Callithrix jacchus: one gene and its partners. The protein of the gene in region 6 binds, or shares a complex with, the protein of the main gene of each other region. Links are inferred from orthologs where the notes say so. Each region holds a gene or a part of one and is shown on either strand. Other genes may lie near its edges. The genes, in order: CTDP1, POLR2G, GTF2F2, GTF2E2, ERCC2 and GTF2F1.

The links.
Region 1: the proteins of GTF2F1 (region 6) and CTDP1 are in contact, whole or in part, in an NMR structure (PDB 1ONV), measured with the Homo sapiens proteins. The link is inferred for Callithrix jacchus from reciprocal best matches to the Homo sapiens genes GTF2F1 and CTDP1. Residues at the interface, in NP_002087.2 of Homo sapiens: Thr470, Lys471, Leu474, Gln478, Ser486, Thr489, Val490, Leu493, Ala494, Leu497, Lys498, Leu500, Asn501, Pro502, Arg504, Met511, Phe513; in NP_004706.3 of Homo sapiens: Ala946, Asp947, Met949, Ala950, Lys951, Ala952, Leu953, Glu954, Glu956, Leu957, Asp959, Leu960, Met961.
Region 2: GTF2F1 (region 6) and POLR2G share a complex: the UniProt entries of both Homo sapiens proteins name them as parts of the TBP-based Pol II pre-initiation complex. The link is inferred for Callithrix jacchus from reciprocal best matches to the Homo sapiens genes GTF2F1 and POLR2G.
Region 3: GTF2F1 (region 6) and GTF2F2 share a complex: the UniProt entries of both Homo sapiens proteins name them as parts of the TBP-based Pol II pre-initiation complex. The link is inferred for Callithrix jacchus from reciprocal best matches to the Homo sapiens genes GTF2F1 and GTF2F2.
Region 4: GTF2F1 (region 6) and GTF2E2 share a complex: the UniProt entries of both Homo sapiens proteins name them as parts of the TBP-based Pol II pre-initiation complex. The link is inferred for Callithrix jacchus from reciprocal best matches to the Homo sapiens genes GTF2F1 and GTF2E2.
Region 5: GTF2F1 (region 6) and ERCC2 share a complex: the UniProt entries of both Homo sapiens proteins name them as parts of the TBP-based Pol II pre-initiation complex. The link is inferred for Callithrix jacchus from reciprocal best matches to the Homo sapiens genes GTF2F1 and ERCC2.

The regions. Positions count from the first base shown.
Region 1 is NC_133514.1:121,980,888-121,984,387, forward strand, and holds part of CTDP1 (RNA polymerase II subunit A C-terminal domain phosphatase), read left to right. Parts: exon of another isoform or gene 1-88; intron 89-707; coding exon 708-1,745; intron 1,746-3,133; coding exon 3,134-3,275; intron 3,276-3,421; coding exon 3,422-3,500. UniProt on the Homo sapiens protein: Processively dephosphorylates 'Ser-2' and 'Ser-5' of the heptad repeats YSPTSPS in the C-terminal domain of the largest RNA polymerase II subunit. This promotes the activity of RNA polymerase II.
Region 2 is NC_133511.1:120,037,547-120,041,708, reverse strand, and holds the start of POLR2G (DNA-directed RNA polymerase II subunit RPB7), read right to left. Parts: upstream 2,801-4,162; 5' UTR 2,730-2,800; coding exon 2,718-2,729; intron 2,584-2,717; coding exon 2,474-2,583; exon of another isoform or gene 2,191-2,473; coding exon of another isoform or gene 2,162-2,190; intron 915-2,161; coding exon 755-914; intron 1-754. UniProt on the Homo sapiens protein: Core component of RNA polymerase II (Pol II), a DNA-dependent RNA polymerase which synthesizes mRNA precursors and many functional non-coding RNAs using the four ribonucleoside triphosphates as substrates.
Region 3 is NC_133506.1:164,327,290-164,331,589, reverse strand, and holds the start of GTF2F2 (general transcription factor IIF subunit 2), read right to left. Parts: upstream 2,801-4,300; 5' UTR 2,656-2,800; coding exon 2,590-2,655; intron 1-2,589. UniProt on the Homo sapiens protein: TFIIF is a general transcription initiation factor that binds to RNA polymerase II and helps to recruit it to the initiation complex in collaboration with TFIIB.
Region 4 is NC_133514.1:31,806,037-31,810,320, reverse strand, and holds the start of GTF2E2 (transcription initiation factor IIE subunit beta), read left to right. Parts: upstream 1-1,484; 5' UTR 1,485-1,694; intron 1,695-1,759; exon of another isoform or gene 1,760-2,388; intron 2,389-3,043; exon of another isoform or gene 3,044-3,063; intron 3,064-4,284. UniProt on the Homo sapiens protein: Recruits TFIIH to the initiation complex and stimulates the RNA polymerase II C-terminal domain kinase and DNA-dependent ATPase activities of TFIIH. Both TFIIH and TFIIE are required for promoter clearance by RNA polymerase.
Region 5 is NC_133523.1:39,539,601-39,543,100, reverse strand, and holds part of ERCC2 (general transcription and DNA repair factor IIH helicase subunit XPD), read left to right. Parts: intron 1-1,001; exon of another isoform or gene 1,002-1,185; intron 1,186-2,812; coding exon 2,813-2,882; intron 2,883-2,968; coding exon 2,969-3,038; intron 3,039-3,146; coding exon 3,147-3,248; intron 3,249-3,500. UniProt on the Homo sapiens protein: ATP-dependent 5'-3' DNA helicase. Component of the general transcription and DNA repair factor IIH (TFIIH) core complex, not absolutely essential for minimal transcription in vitro.
Region 6 is NC_133523.1:6,031,203-6,035,459, reverse strand, and holds the start of GTF2F1 (general transcription factor IIF subunit 1), read left to right. Parts: upstream 1-1,457; 5' UTR 1,458-1,611; coding exon 1,612-1,623; intron 1,624-1,707; coding exon 1,708-1,754; intron 1,755-2,564; coding exon 2,565-2,637; intron 2,638-4,257. UniProt on the Homo sapiens protein: TFIIF is a general transcription initiation factor that binds to RNA polymerase II and helps to recruit it to the initiation complex in collaboration with TFIIB. It promotes transcription elongation.

The DNA of each region.
Region 1 (3,500 bases), on a different chromosome or scaffold from region 6:
GTGCACGGTGGTCCGGCTGGGCGCTGGCCAGGGCCCCAGAGAGCGGTGTGGTTTAACATGTCAGGCAGGTGTGCAGCTGGCGTTCACCCTGTGAAAAGTTAAGTGTTTTTGATGTTTATTTTTTAAAAAGTATTTTGAGGCATACATTTACTGCTGTAGTCACTAAAATGGAACTTGGAGGTTAAGACCAGGAGAGAGGGGAACTGGAGGCATTGCCATAGAGGTGGGGACTCACCAGATGGTGAGTCCTCCGGAGCGACGTCCTCCGGAGCGGGGCTTGATAAACCGTGGCCATAGGGTGCCAGGTCTGCAGCCCAGAGCTGGGAAGCAAACCTCCAGTGGTCCCTGGAGGTAGAGGATCCCTCATCCCCCAAATCCAGAACTTCCTGAGTACCCACATAGTGCTCAAAGGAAAGGAAATACTCATGTAGCATTTTGGAGTTTTCAGACTTGGGATGTTGAACTGGAAGTTTAATGCGAATACTCCAAAATCAGAAAACAAACTCGATATCCAACACATCTCTGGGCCCATGTGCTTGGGGTGAGGGGTACTCAGCCCTCCCGGCTCTGCACAGCACCTTTGCCAAGGCCTGGTCTGGGGGTGACTGAGAGCTCTCGGCTGTGGAGAGGGTGCTGCTTTAACTTTGAACGCTATTTAATGTTGAATGCTGAATCGTGGTAACTTTTCCTTTTGCGTGCATATTTAGTAAATCATTCTTCTCGAGGCACCGAGGTCTCAGAGCAAGCCCCGCCCGTGAGAGACCCTGAGGAGGGAGCACAGGCCCCTGGAGTGGAGCCCAGCAACGGCCTCGAGACAGCAGCACGGGAGCTGAACGGCAGCGAGGCTGCCGTCCTGCAGGACTCACCCCGCCCTGGGAAGCCAGATGAGAAGGACACCTGGCCCCTTGCCCAGGCCCCCGCTGGCAGCCGAGAGCTGGCAGGTGCTCTCGAGCCCCAGGGATCCTGTGCACAGGGTGGCCGGGCAGCACCGGGACAGCGGCCTGCCCAGGGTGCCATGGGCACTGACCTGGACTTTGACCTATCCAGTGACAGCGAGAGCAGCAGTGAGTCGGAGGGCACAAAGTCCTCCCCCTCGGCTTCTGACGGTGAAAGTGAAGGGAGGAGAGGCCGACAGAAGCCGAAGGCTGCCCCAGAGGGAGCTGAGGTGCTGGTGCAGGGCAGGCCCCTGGAGGCAAGCCGGCCTGCAGGGCCAAGTTCCCTTGGAGAGGCCGAGCCCAGTGCACACGTCCCGGACAAGGGGCCCGAGCTCGGTGGGCAGGAGGAGGGCGAGCGGGACAGCCTCTGCAGCCTGGGCAACGGCTGTGCCGACAGGAAGGAGGCGGAGACCGAGTCTCAGAACAGCGAGCTGTCGGGCGTCACCGCGGGCGAGTCCCTGGACCAGAGCATGGAGGAGGAGGAGGAGGACACGGATGAGGATGACCACCTCATCTACCTGGAGGAGATCCTGGTCCGTGTGCACACCGACTACTATGCCAAGTACGACCGCTTCCTCAACAAGGAGATCGAGGAGGCGCCAGACATCCGCAAGATCGTGCCGGAGCTCAAGAGCAAGGTGCTGGCGGACGTGGCCATCATTTTCAGTGGGCTGCACCCCACCAACTTCCCAATAGAGAAGACGCGGGAGCATTACCACGCCACAGCGCTGGGAGCAAAGATCCTCACTCGGCTGGTGCTGAGTCCCGATGCCCCTGACAGGGCCACGCACCTGATCGCCGCACGGGCTGGTGAGTGCCGCCTCCCTCCCCACACCCTGGGCATGCGTGGTCAGGCCCGCAGACTCCTTGCCAGCATGCCTTAGAGTTGACATTGCTGTTTATCTCACGTTCAGTTTTCAGAAATGTTTTCCAGAATCACCATCTTTTAAGAATAGATCCTGACATTGGGTGAAATTCAGGTTTGGGCACGTTCATGCTTTCGGACCACAGTCATCGCCAATGCACACCATGCCAGGTGGCAGGAGTTACTAGTGTGTGGGGCAGACAGTTAGAAGCTCCTTCCTGGAGTAAGAACAGGGAATCAGCAATGGGGCGCAGTGGAGACACTCCAGGCAGGAACAGGAGCTGGGGACTTCAGTTCACAGGTGAAAGGCGGACAAACCCTCCGAGTTAGGAAGCCAAGCACAGGGTTCAGCCGAAGTGCACACAGAAGGATGGACGCGTGGTGGCTGGAAGAGCGGAGGACGGGCCACTGTCCCCCGACGGTGAAACCTGCCCAGACAGGACAGGCTGCCGTGTTTGAGACTTCCACCGAGTAAAACAGAACCTTTCAGCGATAGGTGAATCTTGAAGGAAGGCTCACACCTCGTTGCTTAAAAAACCCAAATACCTAGTTACTGTGTTAAAATACTCCCATAAGCACCTTGATCTTTCCCAAGTGAAGGTTGCTTGAACGCCTTCAGGTTCTGCTCCTCCAGTCGTCGTTTCTCTCCTGGCCACGTGTCCTGAGAGGGCTTTTCAGTGCTTGGCCCTGCCTCTGTGGCTCCTGTGGCTGTAGGGTGAGCTCATCCCCGGCCACGCAAATGCTCCCTGTCATTTGAGGTCACGCCTCCAGCGTGTATCTTGTGGCGTTGGACAAGCATGTGCTCAGTAAGCATTTGAGTCAAGGGTGAAATGGAAGGTTCCATCTCAGTGTGAAATAGCTGGGTGCTAGCTGCAGGGTGGAGGCAGGCTCTGTGAGTCCCAGGAGGAAGCTAAGCCTCGGCCCCGTGGGCAGTCAGGCCCTTGTGTCCTGACCATGGAGCTGAGACAGGCCGGGGCCTCCACAGCCCCTCGAGTGCCCGTCTGCTGTGCTCTGTATTTGCCCAGCTCCTGATCCTCCTCTCACTTCTCCCTTCCCCAAATCGTGCTTACGTTTCCGTTTTGCTTCCGTGTTAGTGGCCTCACTGCTGAGGGGCTTTCCTGAACACATTAAAGGGTCCTCTTGTTGCTCACGTCACCCACTGCGTCCAGCTCCCTGTCCACGATCCACCCTCCCCACTCCAGCCTTACCTGTCTTTCCCTTCCCACCATGGCTGCTTGTCCCTGGCCTGGGAGATGGGCACCTGTGATGGGCAGCCCTAGTGGGGTGCAGCCAGGTGAGCGCCCTGAGCCTGACTCAGCCCGGTCTCCCGCAGGCACAGAGAAGGTGCTGCAGGCACAGGAGTGTGGGCACCTGCACGTGGTCAATCCTGACTGGCTGTGGAGCTGCCTGGAGCGCTGGGACAAGGTGGAGGAGCAGCTCTTCCCGCTCAGGGACGACCACACCAAGGCACAGAGGTGGGTGCTTCCAGTCCCTGCCAGGCGGTCTCTCTCCAGGTGGCTGTTGCTTCACATGCCTGGGCAGTGCCCGCTGGGAGTCCCTGCATGCCTGCCCTGCATCGCCTGGATACCCGCTCACAGCCCTTGTTCTCTTCCTCCTACAGGGAGAACAGCCCCGCGGCCTTTCCCGACCGGGAGGGTGTGCCCCCCACTGCCCTGTTCCACCCAATGCCGGTTCTTCCC
Region 2 (4,162 bases), on a different chromosome or scaffold from region 6:
TCAACCCAGGAGGCAGAGGTTGCGGTGAGCCAAGAGCATGCCATTGCACTCCAATCTGGGTAACGAGCAAAACTCCGTCTCAAAAAAAAAAAAAAAAAAAAAAAAAAAGATTTGAACACTGGTTGGGCACATGATCTTGACCAGTACACTTAACTTAAGCTTCAACTTCTGTAAAAAAGCACCCACCTTGTAAAATCACTGTGGGTCTCTGCACATTACCTGGCCCATAGTAACTACTCAGTCAATGCAGGCTTCTATTGTTATGACTATAAATGACTCCCTTGCCCTCTGAGTCACACAGGGCCAGATTGCCATACAATTTTAAAGTGAAGCACAAGAAGTAAAAGTTACTGGCCAGGCATGGTGGCTCACGCCTGTAATCCTAGTGCTTTGGGAGGCTGAGGTGGGCTGACTGAGCTCAGGGGTTCAAGGCCAGCCTGGGCAACATGGCAAAACCCCATCTCTACCATAAAAAAAAAAAAATTAGGCAGCCGTGGTGGCACATGCCTTTAGCCCCAACTACTCAGGAGGCTGAGGCAGGAGAATCGCTTGAACCCGGGAGACAGAGGTTGCAGTGAGCCAAGATCGTGCCACTGTACTCTGGGTTAAAGAGCAAAATTGTCTCAAAAAAAAAAAAAAACAAAAACAAAAAGTAAAGTAACTTAGCTGAAGGCACAGAGTTATCAAGTGGAGCCAGGACCCAACGACATCTTCCAAGAGACTACCCCACTGGCTCCCCTATGTATGGTCTCACCTTGTTGACCTGCGTGACAACAGCATCCACGACTTCTCCTTTAAAGGGCCGGAAAACAATGGCCTTGTACTTAACTGGATAAAGGACGAAGCCTCGGCCTGGCTGGATCACACCAGCACCGATATTGTCAATGGTGGTTACAGCGATTACAAAGCCATACCTGCAAGGAGGAGGAGAAACAAACGGCATTTTGTGTCCATGAGCCTCTAAAGATTCTGCAGTAAAAGTCACTGAGCTTTTGGGAGGAGGGTCAAGGAGAACAAAAGGACAAGTTGCTAGCACCTCAGTTACCAGAGCTTAATGACCAAGAGAAGACAGGACACAGATCAGTATGTATTAGGCCAAATGCTGCTCTGATAATTTCACAATAAATGTCCAAGATGGCTGGAGACCTTGAGCCAACAGGGGCCAATCTTTGGGATGCCTGAGAATCATCTTATTAAAATGCAGACTCTCTGGCCCAGCACGGTGGCTCATGTCTGTAACCCCAGCACTTTGGGAGGCCGAGGCAGGTGGATCACCTGAGGCCAGGAGTTTGAGACCAGCCTGGCCAACATGGAGAAACTCCATCTCTACTAAAAATACAAAACTTAAGGCCGGGCACAGTGGCTCACGCCTATAATCCCAGCACTTTGGGATGCTGAGGCGGGTGGATCACGAGGTCAAGAGATCGAGACCATCCTGGTCAACATGGTGAAACCCCGTCTCTACTAAAAATACAAAAATTAGCTGGGCATGGTGGCGCGTGCCTGTAGTCCCAGCTACCCGGGAGGTTGAGGCAGGAGAATTGCTTGAACCCAGGAGGCGGAGGTTGCAGTGAGCCAAGATCACACCATTGTACTACAGCCTGGGTAACAAGAGCAAAACTCCATCACAAGAAAAAAAAAACAAAACAAAAATTAGCTGGATGTGGTTATGCACATCTGTAATCCCAGCTACTTGGGAGGCTGAGGCAGAATGGTTTGAACCCGGGAGGCAGAAGTTGCAGTGAGCCGAGATCGTGCCACTGGACTCTAGCCTGGGTGAGAGTGAGACTTCCATCTCAAAAAAGAAAAAATAAGCAGATTCTCAGGTCTGCCCCAGAGAATCTTGATTCTGTAGGAAACAATGAGGTTCAGGAATTTGCATGTTCAAGAACCACCCCAGGTTTTTCTGATGCTGGAGACCCAAGTAACTCCACTGCCCTGGGCTGGGTCATTAATACCACCCTGGGAGAGGCTCCTCTGCACAAAGCCCAGAGATGTTCAAGTCCCAAGCTGCTTCCTTCCTCCCCCAACTCGATCTGCCTTTTCTGGTCATTCATTCAGAATATATATTGAGGCCCATGGTGTGTGGTCCCTGGGCACAGGGGATAAGAGAAAACCAGCAGAATGACAGAGGGAGAGCAGACACAAGAACAGTAATTACACTGTGGACTCCACGAGGGCTGGTCTCATTCTATCTTGTTCTCAGGGCCCAACACGGGTCCTGGCACACAGCAAGGATTTTTTTAACATGTTTGAGGAGTAAATGAATGATTAATTTCAACGGAGGGAAGGAAGTCTTATCGGCCAGCATTGCAGAGGGAGTCCTGGGAACCCAAAGCAGGAAACAACTGGCAGCCTGAGAGAGTGAGAGAGGTCCCCAGAGTGGGTGGCAGGACGAGCAGGAGCTGGGGAGGGGTTGCAGGTATAGCGCCTCGTGTGTGCGATCTGGCTGCGCGGTGAAGTCGGCACTCACTTCCCGGTGCAGGTCCCCTCCACCTCGGTGAAAAGCTTCTGCTTCACCGTGTTGAGCAAATTGGGGCCGAAGTAGCGCGGGTGCAGCAGGATTTCGTGCTCTAGGGAGATCTGCGGAGAAAAGTGGGATGGCGACCAGGCCAGGCGCTGGGAGGTTATCGGGCAAGAAGGGGCCCCTCGCGCCGGCGCCCGGCTTTGCTCCTCCTTCCCACCCAGCCCTTGCTGCCACCCTGAGCCCTGCTCACGTGGTAGAACATCTTCCCAGAGCAGTCTGCGAGGCTAAATCCACACCTCTTGCCGCCTCCGGGAATCCACCGGAAGCACAGATAGCCTCAGCAACCCCAGTTCCGGGCCGGCCGCGACAGAGGGAGGAACTCCACCCCCTTCGCGGGTTTGATTGGGCCTCGCTGTCGTGGGCGGGAACCACTAAAGCCACGCCCCTCGCCCGCCCAACCTGGGCCTCAAAAGGCAATTCTCTTAATGCACAAACTATAACAACCACTCAGTAAATACTTATAACGAGATTAATTAGTGAAAGAATCCATAAGTCAAGCGCTATAACAGAGTGCAGCAAATCGATTCAGCAAATATATATCTACACATGTTTGTTGGAGGCCCAAGTACTTCACTGCCCTGGGCAGAGAGAGAGTCTCTGTTGTCCAGGCTGGAGTGCACTAGCGGGATCATAGCTCACTGGAGCCTCCAACTCGTGGCCCCAAGCGATCCTCCCATCTCAGCCTCCCAAGTAGTTGGGGCAGCAGGCGTGCCACCACGCCCAGCTAATTTTTAAAAATTTTTTTTTGTACAGACCGAGTCTCTGTGTTGCCCAGGCTGGTCTCCAACTCCTGAGTTCAAGTGATCTTCCCGCTTCAACCTCCCAAGATGTTGGAATTATAGACATGAGCCACCACACCAGACCTTTGTCTTTCTTTTTTCTTTTCTAAGAGAAGGGATCAGTCCGGGCGCGGTGGCTCACGCCTGTAATCCTAGCACTTTGGGAGGCCGAGACAGGTGGATCACCTGAGGTCAGGAGTTCAAGACCAGCCTGACCATCATGGTGAAACCCCAACTTGAAAAAAAAGGGGGGGGCTGGGCGCGGTGGCTCACGCCTGTAATTCCAGCACACTCTGGGAGGCCAAAGCGGGTGGATCACAAGGTCAAGAGATCGAGACCATCCTGGCCAACATAGTGAAACCCCGTCTCTACTAAATACAAAAAAAATTAGCCGGGCATGTTGGCACATGCCTGTAATCCCAGCTACTTGGGAGGCTGAGACAGGAGAATCGTTTGAACCCAGGAGGCAGAGGTTGCGGTGAGCTGAGAATGCGCCATTGCACTCCAGCCTGGTTAACAAGAGTGAAACTCCATCTCAAAAAAAAAAAAATTAGCTGGGCGCAGTGGCAGGCGCCTGTAATCTCAGCTACTCTGGTGGTTGAGGAAGGAGAATCGCTTGAGCCTGGGAGGAGGAGGTTGCAGTGAGCTGAGATTGTGCCACTGCACTCAAGGCTGGGCGGCAGAGCACAACTCCATCTCAAAAAAAAAAAAGTTGTTGGAATCCCAAAAACCACTTTAAGCCTCGAGAGAGATGTGACTTCGAGTCACATACAGTTTACAATTTCTGTTCTCAGATTATAGATCAACTCACTTTCTTATTTGTCTTGTTCTCTACATTGACTAGAAAGACTTAAAT
Region 3 (4,300 bases), on a different chromosome or scaffold from region 6:
AAAGTTTCCCTAACTCCTAAGCTTCATTATCATGTACCTAGCATCCTGTGATTTTTTTTTTTTTTTTTTTGAGACAGAATCTCTCTGTCGCCCAAGCTACAGTGCAGTGGCACGATCTTGGTTCACTGCAACCTTCACCTCCACGGTTCAAGCGATTTTTCTGCCTCAGCCTCCCGAGTAGCTAGGACCACAGGCATGTGCCATTATGTCTGGCTAATTTTTGTATTTTTAGTAGAGACAAGGTTTCACCATATCGGCCAGGCTGGTCTCAAACTCCTGACCTCGTGATCTGCCCACCTCAGCCTCCCAAAGTGCTGGGATTATAGGCGTGAGCCACCAGGCCCAGCCCAATCCTGTGATAATTTTCTAATTGTGACTCTGGTTGCCCTCCTCTCTAATTCGTACTGCACACTGCCAAACATTTTTTTTCTGAATACCTGGCGTCGCTACCTCACTCAAGTCCTCCAAAAAGTTTGTTACTTCCTTGTAAACTAAAGTTAGAACATTTCCACTTCATGACATGACAGTCTGAGTATATGGGCCCAACCTTTATTTACACAGATCTTCTGCTCTAGGGTCTGTTTTCCACAACATGCCAAAACATGCCATGTTTTCCACGATTACGTATTTTGAGTCTTGCATTTCTGTTCCACTCCCCATGGTATACACCATGTCTACCCATCCAAATCATGTAAGGCAAACATTGAGCATTTACCATGCTCCTAGGACAACGGCACCATCTCCAGTCACACTATGTTTTCAAGCTTTTTCCTTCAGTCTGCAAGGATCATCTCTTCCTTAGTGACTCTCCTCCAATTAACATGCTGCTGGAGCGAGAAATGCCTATTTAATCCATTCTTTTTTTTTTTTGAGACGGAGCTTCGCTCTTGTTACCCAGGCTGGAGTGCAATGGTGCGATCTCGGCTCACCGCAACCTCCACCTCCTAGGTTCAGGCAATTCTCCTGCCTCAGCCTCCTGAGTAGCTGAGATTACAGGCACGCGCTACCATGCCCAGCTAATTTTTTGATTTTTTTTTTTAGTAGAGACGGGGTTTCACCATGTTGACCAGGATGGTCTCGATCTCTTGACCTCGTGATCCACCCGCCTCGGCCTCCCAAACTGCTGGGATTACAGGCTTGAGCCACCGTGCCCGGCCTATTTAATCCATTCTTTTAAGTCATACTGAGCTTTGAAATAAGTCAAATGAGTGCCACAGACTAAGGCAAGGGTTGAAGAGTGAGAGGTCAGGCATTTATTCATCACCTGTTTGTTGAATAATTACCATGTGCCAAACACTATTCTGGGTAAACAGGCAAAGATCCTGTTCTCACGGAATGCAATTTTGTGTTGGAAAGACGAAGGTAACCAACTTTTCACATATTAACACAAAATCACTCTACACCGTGAAAAGTGCTTTGAGGAATGTAACATGGATATGTCATGTTAGCAAATGATCATAAGGGAGCTCTTTTAGGAAGACCGACAAGGAAGACCGCTTAGATATAATTGACGAGAACTCAGCCATGTGATAAAATAAGCGAAAGCATTAAGAAACCAAAAGTCCCTACATTTTAAGTTTCAATGAGTTTCAGGATCACATGTCGAATATGCCTAAGTATTATGAGCCTCCCCTAGGAGACAACACTCCCCAACATGAAACAGTGAAGCACGAGTAGTGCCCACTGTGAGCTAACCAAAATCGCTGTCTTTACGTAAAACACTTACTGATGGTCAGTTTCACGAGACCCAATTGTGCTCTAAAAGAATATTCCAGGCCGGGCGCGGCGGCTCACGCCTATAATCCCAGCACTTTGGGAGGCCGAGGCGGGTGGATCACGAGGTCAAGAGATCGAGACCATCCTGGTCAACATGGTGAAACCCCGTCTCTACTAAAAATACAAAAAATTAGCTGGGCACGGTGGCGCGTGCCTGTAATTCCAGCTACTCAGGAGGCTGAGGCAGGAGAATTGTTTGAACCCAGGAGGCGGAGGTTGCGGTGAGCCGAGATCGCGCCATTGCACGCCAGCCTGGGTAACAAGAGTGAAACTCTGTCTCAAAAAAAAAAAAAAAAAAAAAAAAAAAAACAAAGAATATCCCAGTCCAATGACGTCTCCTGCGAGTTGAGAGCTGTCTCGCCTCTTTTCGGAGCTCCATTAAGGACCATCAACCTAACACAACACTTTAAGGGTACGCATGGACCGGTTCTACTTTCTCGCCGAGAAAAATGTACAGAAAACAGACATTCAACTACCCCACACAGGCTCATGGCTAAAAGCAGTTTCACCAAGAGAAGACACAAGGAATTCTTCGGTCCTAGATAAAATGCACCGTCCAAACCGGGGACATCAGGACGAGGCTCCAGGAAAGCCGTGAGAAGAAGAGACGAGTCCAGGTGGATTCAGACTCGTAACTGGCGCGCCTAAACGGATTTCCTCATCTGCAAACATACAGCAATGCCTCCTGCCTCTCAAAGTACGTGAAGCTCTAACGAGACAGCCGTAAAAGAACTTTAAGAGGCGCACGCAGCCGGATGGGTTCAAGTTACTTAAACTATACTCGTGTTGGGAGGAGCGCGCAGCGAACGTTACCTTGACAAGCCACACTCCCGTGTTCTGTTTGGCGCCGGTCAGATCGAGTTCCCCGCGCTCGGCCATGGGTCTGCCGCTGGTGGAGGCGCGCGGGCTGTAGCAGCGACCCCAGGAGCCGGAGGGCTGCGGAGCGAACGTCCGGAGCAAAGCGCTAAGCCGCGCTGAGAGGTGAAGAGCCGGCGTTTCTCACCGGCCCGGACACCGGAAACCCGCGGAAAGGGGAACACGCCGCCGGGAGCTGGGATTGCGCCTGCGTATTACTACGTCAGTACGGCGCCCTGTTGCGGACAAACTTCCTGTGTCGGCAATTTCTCGGGTGGGCGTGGCTGTCAGCGATGTCTATCAGAGGGATTGAAACTTGGTTGGGATGAGCCAAAACGTTAGCAATGTATTTAAAGACAAGGTCAGCATAACTGAAGAAAAAGATTATCAGAATGAAAAAATGGGGTTCAAAGAGACAAGAGCTGTCAGAACATGTCCAGTCCTAGCCAGAGAGAGGAGAGAGAGAGAGAGACAGTATTTGAAGGGCAGGATCTGGGTAGCAAATGGGCGTCCTTGGCCAACGTCATTAGCACAGGTGGGCACTGGGATCAGACTGGGTAGCCCTGGTACTGAACACATGCCGTTTCTAGACCTGAAAAGAAAGCGGTGTTTCAGCTCGGAGGCTGCCTGAGCTCTTCTGATTAAGCGAGCAGAGCACCTCAGACTCCAAAACCCGGAGGTCTGTGAAGAAATGAACAAGTAAGAGACAAACTTGGTCGTTTCCTCCCCTGCGTAAACGATGTTCTCTTTCTCTTCTTGCCTCTGGAATAAAATTCAACCCTTCTGCTTCAACTGGGCCCTCCACCACCACCCATCACTCCACCACCCACCCAACCACACCAAACCCAGCAGACTTTCCTGAACACGTCAGAATCTTCCTCGGTCATTTCAGAGCCTCTGCACACTGGATTCCCTTCCCTCAGATGCCCTGTTTTACCCCTACCCTCATTCCCACCCCTGTCCTCTGGTTGCCAAACTCCTACTTGTAGTTCAAGACCAACGGAAATGTCACTTCCTGTGACACCTTTTATCAACTCCCCCGGAAGAAATTAGTTTTTCTTCACATCACGCTGTGATACTTAGCACTCTGCACTGTAATATGTATGTTTACATGTCTGCCTTTGCTTTCCAGACTATGAACTGGTCCTAGGCAAAAAGAGCCTTATTGAGGTATAATTGACAAATAAAAAATAGTGCTTTATTCATTTTATCTCCACAATGTCTAGTACAGTGTTTGATACATCGTCAGATTTCAGTAGGCTTTGGTTGAAAGAACATTCGCTGAAGAGAAACAATAAGGTATTGTTAAGAATGGCAAGTAATTTTTTGAGTCATACATCAGAGCCATGAACAAAATTGAGGAAATTTTACGTATGTTCAGCATAGGGCCAGGAAAAGCTGTCAGAACTCTACAATTAGCTAGCAAAACTAATAGGAAAGATGGGAGAGACTGGGAGTGTGTTGAAAATGAAAGTTTCGGCCATGTGTGGTGGCTCATGCCTGTATTCCAAGCACTTTGGGAGGCCGAGGCGGGTGGATCACGAGGTCAGGAGTTCGAGACCAGCCTGGTCAACATAGCAAGACCCCCATCTCTAAAAACAAGAAAAAGAAAAAAAATTTAAGTAGAAAATGAAGATTTCTTCTTGTGCAACAACTTGGGAAAGGGCCT
Region 4 (4,284 bases), on a different chromosome or scaffold from region 6:
TTTTAATACATACTGAATTCCCTGCCCCTTTCTCCCCTTACTCCTCATCAGTTTCCTACTAGTTCTTTGATTTTATCCTTTTGTAAATATTCTCGGCCCTAATCAATTGTGATTCAAACAAAGTTACATTTTCTGTGCATGTCAGATGATCATCAAGTAGGCTTATTACAAAATTCTCTAGAATGAAACTAATCAAAAAGATCACAAAATATTGTCTTTCAACTTTTTTCTCCAAGTTTTGAATAAAATTTTAGGTATTTTCTCATTTAATTTTCACCACAGTCCAGTGCAAGTAACTCATTGTAGTAGTACAATGATTATCCCCATTTCCCAGATGAGAAACCAAGCCACAGGTTCAGTAACTTGAGGAGTAATCAGTAACAAGTAATTAAATTAGAGCCATAGAATGGCTGAGAGCTGGCTGTACTACCACTTTAGGTTACAAGACTGAGGGAAGTTCTCCACGCTGCAGGGTTCGGGCAACGACAATTATTTTTCCAATTGCTTTATTTTCACCCATTCATCGTGCTTCTGAATCCAAAATCCTTTCCTAAGACAGTTCACAAGGGCGGAGCCTGGGCTGGGCTCCACATCAGGCTGCCTTTGCTAGTTATGCTGTCTTGAGAAAGTTGTTTATTAATTAGCTTTCTGGGCCTCTGTTCTTCGCTGTAAAAGGGCTGGAACCGCCTTCTCGGAGGGCAGGTGACGGTGGGTGGCACTGGGGTAGTCACAAAATAACCGTTGAGGCCGGGCGGGATGGCTCACGCCTGTAATCCCAGCACTTTGGGAGGACGAAGCAGGCAGATCACTTGAACTCAGGAGTTTGAGACCAGCCTGGGCAACATTGTGAGACACTATTAATACAAACAATAACAACAATAACAAATATTGCCCGTCCTTGTGGCACTCGCCTTTGATCCCAGCTACTCTGGGGGCTGAGGTGGGAAAATGCCTTGAGCCCGGGAGGCGGAGGATCATCACAAACCAAGTCTCCAAAAGGTAGCAAAAGAGAGGGAAAGTAGAAAGGTTGAAAGAGGTTAAATGGTGGCAGGAATCGTGGGCTTGGAGCCCCAGTGAGCCGAGACAGCGCCACTGCACTCCAGCCTGGGCGATCGAGTGAGATCCTGTCACTAGTAAGAAAAAGACAAAGAAATCAAAATAATCCTTGAAAGACAAGAGTCGCCGATTGGGTTCACCACAACCCAGCGCACTCCGGGGCAGGCTGTAGCAGCTTTAATTAAGCGTCCGTAAAGAAAGCCCCCTTTCCTCATCCCTGGCACCGCCTCCCATCTCAGTCCCCTCCTCGGCCCCGCCCCCAGCATTCCCTCGTTGTCATGGAGCCCACAGGACGCCCGAGCGGGCTACTTCTGCTCCCGCGGCACCCAAGACAGGGCACGCAATGACGCATGCGCGCGCTCGGCGGCCATGGCGCCGCGGTGGCTGCTGGGACTGAGCTCTTAGCACCCGATCGGGAAGTGGCGGGCGGAGTCCCGGGTCGAGTCGCCGCCTCAGCAACCACCGCCGCTGCAAGTGGCGAGACCCCGACCTGGCGGGTCCCCGCTGGGGGAGCGTGCGGGCAGGCGGGGGCGCTGACGAGGAACAGGAAGAGGCTGCCGTGCCGGCGTGGGCGGCTGGCCGAGGCGTAGGCGGAGGGAGGCGGTGGCGAGTCGCGCGGGGCTGCCCTAATCACTCAGGTAGGGGCTGCGGCCGCCGGGTGAGGGGAGCGGAGCCCCGGCCTGCTGTTCCCCGGGACCCAGGCGCGTCGCCGCTTCCCGGGGGGCCGAGCGTGACCTACACCCCACGGGAAGCTGGGGCCGCCGTTCTCGACGCGAAACACCCAACACGCGAACGGTTCCCCCAGCATTGTCTTTAGGCCGGAGGTTCATTGAGCAAACTTTTGGATTGGGAAGAGGGAAAATTCGCGGTCTGCTGACTGTGCCTTCAAGCCTCCAAGTTCACGGGCGCGGTAGCCAAGCGAACCGCGTGTGGAGTTTCGGGAGCCACGGTGTTCCAGCCAGCTCAAGGCTGTGATTTAGATTCTCATACGCGAACTGGTTTCTAGGCTACCTTTTGGAGAGTTGGTTTGTGATGATTCCTAAACTTTAACGGTAGTAATTGACTTCTGCAGTCTAAAGATGTTTTCCACACAATAAGGCTGCGGCCCCCTTTTCGCCCACCTCCCAACTGCTGTCATTTAAAGGCGAAGCAGCCCGATGTTCATAGCCGGGTGCTGAGGTGCCCTGGACACTTCTGAGGCTTGGAAAGAAGCAAAAGAGAGGGAAAGTAGAAAGGTTGAAAGAGGTCGAATGGTGGCAAGAGTCGTGGGCTTGGAACCATCAGCTTTTCGTTTAATTTATGGGTTTTCCATATCTACCCACGGAGAAACCGGTGAACATTTTGAGTTGTGGTGGTAGTTTGTTTTGTTTTAATGTAAAATGGACATAGTGATGTAGCTTGTTTACTACACAGGTGGGTCCTGAGATCTTAAACTTAGTACAAATATTGAGTAGTCTTTGAAAAAGGAGGAGAAGTTAGAGCATGTGATGGTGAAAGACATCGCGAAGCCTTCTGCTCTAGGTGCCTTTGAATGTTCCAGAACCTCGTAGGTCGCCTTTGTTTTAAAGGCCTTTACCAGCGTTCCAGGTCTGGTGTAAGGAGCATTCGACTTAAGAGTCAGGAGGTTTGGGTTCTGACCCTGGTTCTTCCATCGGTGCGACCTTTAATCAGACAGCTTCACTTTCACATTTCACGTATTAAAATAGGAATAACACTAACAACTTTTCGCTCCGAGAGTTGCAAGGGTCAAATATTGTAAGCATTTAGTTTGCTGTAAACTGTACGGGTTTATTTAAGTCTTCTAAGGTCATTTTTTAAAAGTCTGGATTAAGGTCCTGCCTTAATCAAAGGTGAAATTGGATTAAGGTGAAATAAAACACAGATTTTTTTTGTTTTAGGAATTTACAATCTGCTTGTTGCCCCCACCTTCTCAATTGATAATTCTCCTTTCTTCTTGTCCTCACGTTTTCCCTCCTCCCAAGGCTGTCTCCTATCTTCCTCAGCCCGGTAAATCATTCTCTTATTTTTTTTCAGATCCAACTCAAAATAGTAATACTAAAATAACATGTTTTTATGACTTTACTATTTAAAAAATAACGTACACATTTTCTCATTCTTAAAATTGGGTTGGATCGTGGACAGCGTTGGCAGCGTCTTCATTTTACTTGTGAAATTGAGTGTAGTGGCCTTGTGGGTTGCCTAGCCATGTGGCTCTTAGGAATTGAAATGAGGCAGGCCGTGGTGGCTCTGCCTGTAATCCTAGCACTTTGGGAGGCTGAGGTGGGTGGATCACTTGAGGTCAGCAGTTCAAGACCAGCCTGGCTAATGTGGTGAATGAGCCCCTCTCTACTAAAAATACAGAAATTAGCCAGGTATGGTGGTGCACACCTGTAGTTCAGCATCTCGGGAGGCTGAGGCAGGCAGGAGAATCGCTTGAGCCCAGGAAGCGGAGATTTCAGTGAGCTGAGATCACACCACTGCGCTCCCACCTGGGCAGCAGAGAGAGACTGTTTCAAAAAAAAAAAAAAAATTGAAATATTTATTTTTCCATGCACACTTCAGAATCATTTACAAACAAAAACTTTGTTTAAATTTTGAAAATATGTTAAATGTATGCTCCATATATTAAAATAATAACTCAAAAAAACTGAGAGAAGGCAGGTTTTTGATTCACCATCCAGTGATTCTTCACGCCTTAACTGAAATTCACTCTGATTATTCCTTACTAATGCTTATATTTTAAGTTTTTAGCTCAAGGCTTTCATTTTCTCAAATCTAAGCAGCATGCAGACTAGGATTTATCCTCCATAACCTTTCAAAGCTTAGAGCACATGCCTTGCAAACAGAAGACACTTAATAAAGGCGTGTGTAACCAGTAATCATGGGACCAGAGCAATTAAAAGATCTTGTTCCATGTGTTGTTCATTTAACAAATATTTATTGAGCTATCCTGTGCTTAAAAGCTTTCAAAGTTTGAGTCTTTTTCCTCCCAGCTGACACTAGTCTTAACAGTGTCAAATTCATTTATATAGTCAGCTTGAGGTCTTCCTAGACCCTCTGCAGGGTACTAGCAGAGTTCAAAAGAAAGGAGTGTTTAGAATTCTTGTTGGTTGACCTGTAGCTTCCTTGATTGTACTGAAATTGCTTAGGGTTGTAGTTTTAGAACCGGACAAACAGCCACAATATAGAAGTTGTTTCAGACCACCTCCAGATTGGAAATTTTCTATA
Region 5 (3,500 bases), about 34 Mb from region 6:
TTTCACAGACTTCCTTGGGCTGCAGAGTGAGGATGAGGCCAGAGAAGTTCTCTGGGGTCAGCTCACACTAGAGGGCCCGGTAACGAGTTGGTCATTGTGTTCCTGAGGGCGCTGGGGAGCCATAGCAGATTCTAGCAAGCAAGGCGCCAGGTCAGATCTGTGATTTTTTTTTTTTTTTTTTTTTTGAGACAGAGTCTCACTCTGTAGTCCAAGTTGGATATGGTGGTGCGATCTCAGCTCACTGCAGCCTTCGCCTCTGGGACTCAAGCCCTTCTGTTGCCTCAGTTTCCCATGTAGCTGGAACTAGAGGTTCCCACCACCACACCATATTAATTTTTTTGTATTTTTAGTAGAGACAGGGTTTTACCTGAGCTCAGGCGATCCACCCACTTTGGCCTCCTAAAGTGTGGGGATTAGAGGTATGAGCCACTGCACCCAGCCCAGATTTGTGCTTTAGAAAGATTTCTTCTGGGGGCCAGGTTCGTGGTGGTTCATGCCTGTAATCCTAGCACTTTGGGAGGCTGAGGCTGGTGGATCACCTGAGGACAGGAGTTCGAGACCATGCTGAGTAATATGGTGAAACCCTGTCTCCCCTAAAAATACAAAAATTAGCTGGGCATGGTGGCGTGCACCTGTAATCCCAACTACTTGGGAGGCTGAGGCAGGAGAATTACTTGAACCTGGGAGGTGGAGGTTGCAGTGACCAAGATCACACCACTGCACTCCAGCCTGGGCGACAGAACAAGACTCCATCTCAAAAAAAAAAAAAAAAAAAAAAAAATTTCTTTCAGGGACTAGAAGCAGGCAGGAGACTGGGTGGCGGGCGGGGGCCTGAGCAGGGGAGGAGGGGTCGTGGCCAGGGTGTAGCCATGGGGAGAGAGATGGGTGTGGTTTGGAGAGAGAGGTGGGAGGTAGAGGCTGGGATGTGGGGAGCATGGTTCCCGGTTGTGGGACCTGGGACAAGAGGAGTTGAGGCTGATTTTCAGATTTCCATGTTGCAGGAGAGGGGCGTGGTTCCGGAGGCTTTATGGGCAGTGTTCCCTCCGCATCCTCACTGTGAAGCTGACCAGGGGCTCAGTCTGCCTCCTAGGGGTTTCTCCTCTACCCAGGACACTGGGTTGGGGCTAATGTCCTTCAGTGGGGCCTGGCAGGAGGATGGAGACCTGGGCCCCCGCCCTGGGGCTGGTTAGTAGCAAAGCCTGCTGGCCGCTGCCTCTGCCTGTCCTGCCCTGCCCCACCTTCCATCCCTGCCTTTGTCGTTCTCTACCCCCTATTTCCTATCTGCCAGCCCTTTACGTTCTTGCACCTGCAGTGTCTTTCCTCATCTTCCTCATCCCCCCAGCCACCTCCCCCTCATCCTTAGGTTCTCAGCTCTGTAGAGATGTCTCCGCCACCAGGAAGCCTTCCCTGACCCCCAGCCTGAGTCAGGCCCCTCCTTTAGGCACCTCTATCCCAGCATTGCCCACTCAGTCATCACCATCTGGGTACAATTCTGCCTCCTACTGGATTTCGAGTCTGTGCGAGCAGGGGCAAAGTTGGCTTGGTCACCCCTGTGTCCCCAGCACAGAGGACTTATTTTTTTCGCTGTGTGAAACTGAATATATAAGTTAATTAATTCATTTATTTCTTCAACAAACGGGCCAGGCTCAGCACTGTGGAAGCAGCAGGAACCAAAAAAAAATCTCATTCCTACCCCCCTGCAACTTATATTTCAGAGAGGAAAACCAATAGCAAAGATGTAGTAAAATAAAAGAGGAAATGATTCCGGAAAGTGACAGTTATCATAAAAAAAAAGTTCTGTTGGAACATGTGTGCGCAGAAAAGGTGTCTGGGGAGGGCCTTTCTGAGGGGCTGACTTTTGAGCAGTCTCAGATGACCAAGTGGGGCCACTTAGGAGTTTTCCAGGCCACATGGGATCAGCAAGTGTAAAGGTCTTCGGGGCACTGAGCCTGCAGTTTTTTGAAGGTCAGACATGCTAAAGGCACGTGGGGGCCATGGGAGGCTTCTTGGGGTGGGGAGGTGACATGGCCGGACTCAGGATTCCATAGGGTCCCTTCTGGCTGCCATGAAGTGAGCAGGGCATGATGGTTCAGGCAGGAGGTGATGGTGGCTGGCCCCGGGTAGGGTTGGGAGCAGTGGTCTGATTGCAGGTGGGTTTTGGAGGCAGAGCCGATGGCTTAGGTAGAAAGGTCACGGGAGGCCAGTCACAGTGGCTTATGCCTGTAGTCCCAGCACTTTAGGAGCCTGAGGCAGGCAGATAACTGGAGGTCAGGAGTTTGAGACCAGCCTGGCCAACATGGCGAAACCCCATCTCTACTAAAAATACAAAAGTTAGCTGGGTAGGTGGTGCTTACCTGTAATCTATTACTCGAGAGGTTGAAGTAGGAGAATCGCTTGAACCCTGGAAGGCAGAGGTTGCAGTGAGCTGAGATCGGCCCCCTGCACTCCAGCCTGAATGATAAAGTGATCTCAAAAATAAGTAAGAACTGGTCTTGGGAGAAGGCATGAGGCTCTGGCTCCTGGCTTTGGTGTGGGTGCTGGGAGAGTGAGCAGTGGACAGGGCTGTGGTACAGTCTGCTTGGGATCCTTTGTGACAGTCTGCACAGATGTGGGCCCTGTGGAGAGGCTGACAGGTTGGGGTGTGTTTTGGACTCGGATGCCTGGGTTTGGGGCTTAAGCAGCTGATGTTTGGACCCATTGAGTCCTGTGCAGTGCGGGATGGGGATTGGGGTGGAGCAGGAGAGGGAATGACTGAGTGGGCACAGCTGTGGTTGCATGGGGGGAATCACTTGCCCTTGCCCGCCCTCTGCAGGCTTCACCATCATCATCGAGCCCTTTGACGACAGAACCCCAACCATTGCCAACCCCATCCTGCACTTCAGGTGGGATCCTGCCTGGTGGGGGTGTGAAGGTACTGTGGGTGGGGGGCCCAGCCCGCCGGGCCCTCACCACCCTCTCCTCTCTGCAGCTGCATGGACGCCTCGCTGGCCATCAAACCTGTATTCGAGCGCTTCCAGTCTGTCATCATCACATCTGGGGTGAGGACCCTTCCCCTGTCCCCTCCCAGTCCCTGGCCTTCCTCCATGGGTCTCCTGGTCCCTGCCCGGTCCTGCTGAGATTTCTCCCCACTACTGTCCCCACTACAGACGCTGTCCCCGTTGGACATCTACCCCAAGATCCTGGATTTCCACCCTGTCACCATGGCAACCTTCACCATGACGCTGGCTCGGGTCTGCCTCTGCCCTATGGTGAGTGGGAGAGGCTGAGGCTGGGGCCAGGAGGTGAGATGGGAGCCAGGGGCCACCTTCCTTCTTTCCTTCCTTGGCTTCCCCCACTGCTCAGGCAGAACAGCCCGAGTTCAGGATTCAAACAGACCTAGGCTTGATTCTGCCTCTCTGTGGGTGCATCTCTCAAGCCTCAGTGTTCTCATCTGTGAAATGGGGATGCGTCCTCCCTGATCACAGAGGGCTGTTGAGAGAATTGAGAGAGAGAACTGGGGT
Region 6 (4,257 bases):
AGGCACGCGCCACCATGCCCAGCTAATTTTTTGTATTTTTAGTAGAGACGGGGTTTCACCCTGTTGACCAGGATGGTCTCGATCTCTTGACCTCGTGATCCACCCGCCTCGGCCTCCCAAAGTGCTGGGATTACAGGCGTGAGCCACGCGCCCGGCCGGGAATATAAATTAATGACATTTCTGAGGCTTCTGACTCCCCAGAACTTATGGGGTCTACCCCCTACACTAACCCACTACAGGAATTAAAAAGTTTACACCCCAGACTACTTCTGCCTCTCTCACTCCTACATTCCGAGGAGTTGGCAGTTCTTGACATTTAGTGGATGAGGAATAAATGAAACCAGACATGTCTTGTTCCCCTTCCCTCTGCGTAGCCTACAACTCCTATGCATCCCTCAGTGGCCAACTGAAACCTCCCGTCTTCTCTGAGCCCTCAGAGCCCCGCTGTGCTTCTCCTGCTCCTTCCTGGGTTGTAGATTCCCATTTTATGAGTCTCCGCCACGACACTGTAACCCGCAGAGGACAGAGAGCTGGTTTGATATATTCACCTGGCGGAGCCCGGAACCCAGCAGCGTGCTTGAGTATTTCCGAACTAGAGCAATGAATGGTTGTGCTGTGAGCATGCGCAATTGTGTTACTGCCAGGCTTGAGGGGTGTGTGCACGCCTGGAATGGGGTAGGGGAACTTGCACCTCCCTCCCGTCCTCTGCAGCCTCCTTCCCTTCCCCCCAGTAAGCCAGCCAGCCACCCCCACGACGTTACTCTTCTCCGGGGGCCTCAGAGCCCTGCCCATTTGGGGCAGCTTGGACTTGCAGAGACCCATCCCGCCAGCAGCCCTTGGGGTGGTCGCGCCCCGATTCCGGGCAGGCTCTGACCCCTCCTGGCTCGGCTCAACGTCACAAGGGTCCCCGCTCCGGTCATTTTGCGGGAATGACGGGGTCCACCCCTTCTGGGCAGGTAGAGGAAACGAACCCCAAACAGGCCCATAGGGAGCCAAGCGGCAGTTCGACTGGACCCGAGTAGGCCTCAGTTGCTATGGTGACGCGGCCTTCCAAGCCCCAAAGTCCCGAGCGGCATGACGCATGCGCAAAGCGCCTGGGAGCCCGCAAGGAGGACTAGCTTCCTTCTTCCCACCCAGGATGCCCTGCGGTCCTTGGGTGCTGACGTCACGAAGGAGGGCGGTCCCACATTTGATGACCGCACTGTACATAGGAGCATCAGCGACCAAGGCCGGTTATTTGATCTCAGACTCGGCCTTGTTGCGTCTGAAAAGGGGCAGGGGTGGCTCTTTTGAGGTGGCCATAGACGCCGAGGAACATAAGTGACGGCGCATTGAGGTAGCCACAGCCGCTTAGAAGGTTGCCATCGCGACGCGGCCGCTGGAGGGTTTAGCTTCCGGGTTAGGCGGCCGCGGAGGCGTAGACGGAATAACCTGAACGCCTCTTCCGGTTACCCTTTCCCAGTGCCAGAGGCGCCTAGGGTAGGAATCCTCACACGGGGACCGGAACAGAGACCCGACAAGGAACGGCGGCTTCCCCGAGATCGAGGGACGCGCTAGCCAGAGGAGAAGAAAGGAACCCGGGTCGGACCACGGAACCACTGACCATTGCCCATGGCGGCCCTAGTGAGTGTGGATTTGGCGGGGTTCGGGGGTCCCGGCGGCGACCTCGGCGGCACCTTACTCACCGTCCGCTTCCTCTTTCCGCAGGGCCCCAGCAGCCAGAATGTCACTGAATACGTCGTTCGAGTTCCGAAGTAAATCCCCTACCCCATCTCCCACTCCTCTCCACCCCGCAAAAGTGAAAACCTTTACGGTCCTCTTAGCCTGACGTTTCTGGCCCTGTCTGTGGTTCTCCCTCCAGACCGGGGGACTTGGAGGGCAGGGCTGCGATTAAGCTGAGGCTTCTCTGGAGGCAAACACTGCTTTTTGTATGAATGAGTGCATTAATACACAGCACGATTCAGCCTCCTGGCCTAACGTTCGAGAGCATATGATGCCCAGGCTGTCTCGTCCTCTTTCAAAGCGAGCAGGCTGCCTTTCCTTTCCAGGCCTTTGTACATCCCGTTCCCTCTGCCATGAGTGCCTCCCCTCAGCCCCCAAACGGTGACTCTGTTGGGTGAATTCTTGTTGATTCTGCAAAACTCAGCTCCAGTATCATCTTCCTCCAGGAAGCACTCCCTGACTGACCTCCCTCCTCCCCAAGGCTGAGTTCCCAATAATCTCCACATCTTGGGTTTCTCCCAATCTTTGTTCCTCCATTTGTTCTTCGTCTGCACGCAGTTAAGAGGGGATGGGGTCTAGCTTCTCTGGCAGACTGGGATTCCTGCAGTCTTCCGTATCCAGTGTTGACAGGCAAAACAGACTGAATGAACCAGGGTGGGTTTGTTGAGTGACTGAATTAATGATTCAGTGGAATGGAATGCTTGAATTAATGGTTCAGTTGAATGGAACGATCGAATTAATGATTTGATTGAATTAATGATGTGTTCACATTGATTGATTAAATTAATGATTGAATTGAATTGATGTATTGGATTGGCTCTATCTCTTCTAATCCACTCTAGGAATACAACCAAAAAATATAACATCATGGCTTTTAATGCAGCTGATAAAGTCAACTTTGCCACGTGGAATCAGGTAAGTCCCTGGGTCCTGGGGGTCGGGGGCTGGGGTGGTGAGAGAACCTGACCCTGACCTTGGTGGTTGTAATAGTTGCTTAGCTGTCATAGTAACTAAGTCTTAATTTTCTCACTTTTCCCAAGTGGAGATAAGGTAGATGACAAAGAGTTGGGTGCAGTAGTTTGTACCTGTAATCTTAGCACTTGGGAGGCCAAGGCAGGAGGCTTGCCTAAGGCCAGGAGTTCAAGACCAGCCTGGGCAATATAGCAAGACCCTATCTCTACCAAAAATAAAATAATTAGCTGGATGTGGTAGTGTGCATCTGTAGTCCTGCACAGGAGGCTGAGGTAGGAGGATCACTTGACCCCAGGAGTTGAAGGCTGCAGTGAGCTATGATTACACTACTGCACTCCAGCCTGGTGACAGAGTAAGACCTGTCTCAAAAAAAAAAAAAAAAAAAAAAAAAGATGGCAAAGGCCCAGGCCAAGCTCCTGGGTGTCCCTGTAAGTTACGTTTAGTAGGACCACAGGAGGCCATTCCTTAATGGAGAACATTTAGAAGTTGTGCCCACTGATGGCCATTTTTGCCAAGGTTTATCTGGCTGAGGGAGGGGACTGGGCTAGGGCCTTCCCCAGAGCCCCTGCCATCAGAGGCTCTAGAAAGGACTGTGGGAGCCATTAAAGCATCCTCCACGGGGAAGTTGTATTGTGATCTGGCTGCTGTGGGGAGGCAAACTGTGGGTTTGAGGGCGGATAAAGGGAGAACAGGGTGGAAGCAACTGGGCTGACTGGTCTAGGTGAGTCCTGGCCTGGGGATGTGGAGGCCGTGAAGGTGATGAGATGTGGCTGGATTCTAGAGTGTTTTGGAAATGGTACATATGGACCTTGAAGCAAGAGCTTAAGGGTAATTGGGACCTTATTGGCCACATAGGTCATGATTAATGGTTACATTTTAGAGATTTTGGTGTCTTACTGTCAACAAGTTTGGCACAATGAATTTCTTTTTATTTATTTAAATTTATTTTTTTGTGATGGTGTTTCACTTTTGTTGCCCAGGATGGAGTGCAATGGCACGACCTCAGCTCACTGCAACCTTCAACTCCCAGGTTCAAGCCATTCTCTTGCCTTAGTCTCTCATGTAGCTGGGATTACAGGTGCCCACCCCCACTCCCACCTAATTTTTGTATTTTTGGTAGAGATGGGGTTACACCATGTTGGTCAGACTGGTCTCGAACTCCTGACCTCAGGTGATCCACCCACCTTGGCCTCTGAAAGTGCTGGGATTACAGGTGTGAGCCACTGTGCCTGACCTTTTTATTTTCTTTCTTTCTTTTTTTCTTTTTTTTTTTGAGACGGAGTTTTGCTCTTGTTACCCAGGCTGGAGTGCAGCGCGATCTCGGCTCACCGCAACCTCCGCCTCCTGGGTTCAGGCAATTCTCCTGCCTCAGCCTCATGAGTAGCTGGGATTACAGGCACGTGCCACCGTGCCCAGCTAATTTTTTGCATTTTTAGTAGAGACGGGGTTTCACCATGTTGACCAGGATGGTCTCAATCTCTTGACCTCGTGATCCACCCGCCTCGGCCTCCCAAAGTGCTGGGATTACAGGCTTGAGCCACCGCGCCCGGTCGCTTTATTTTC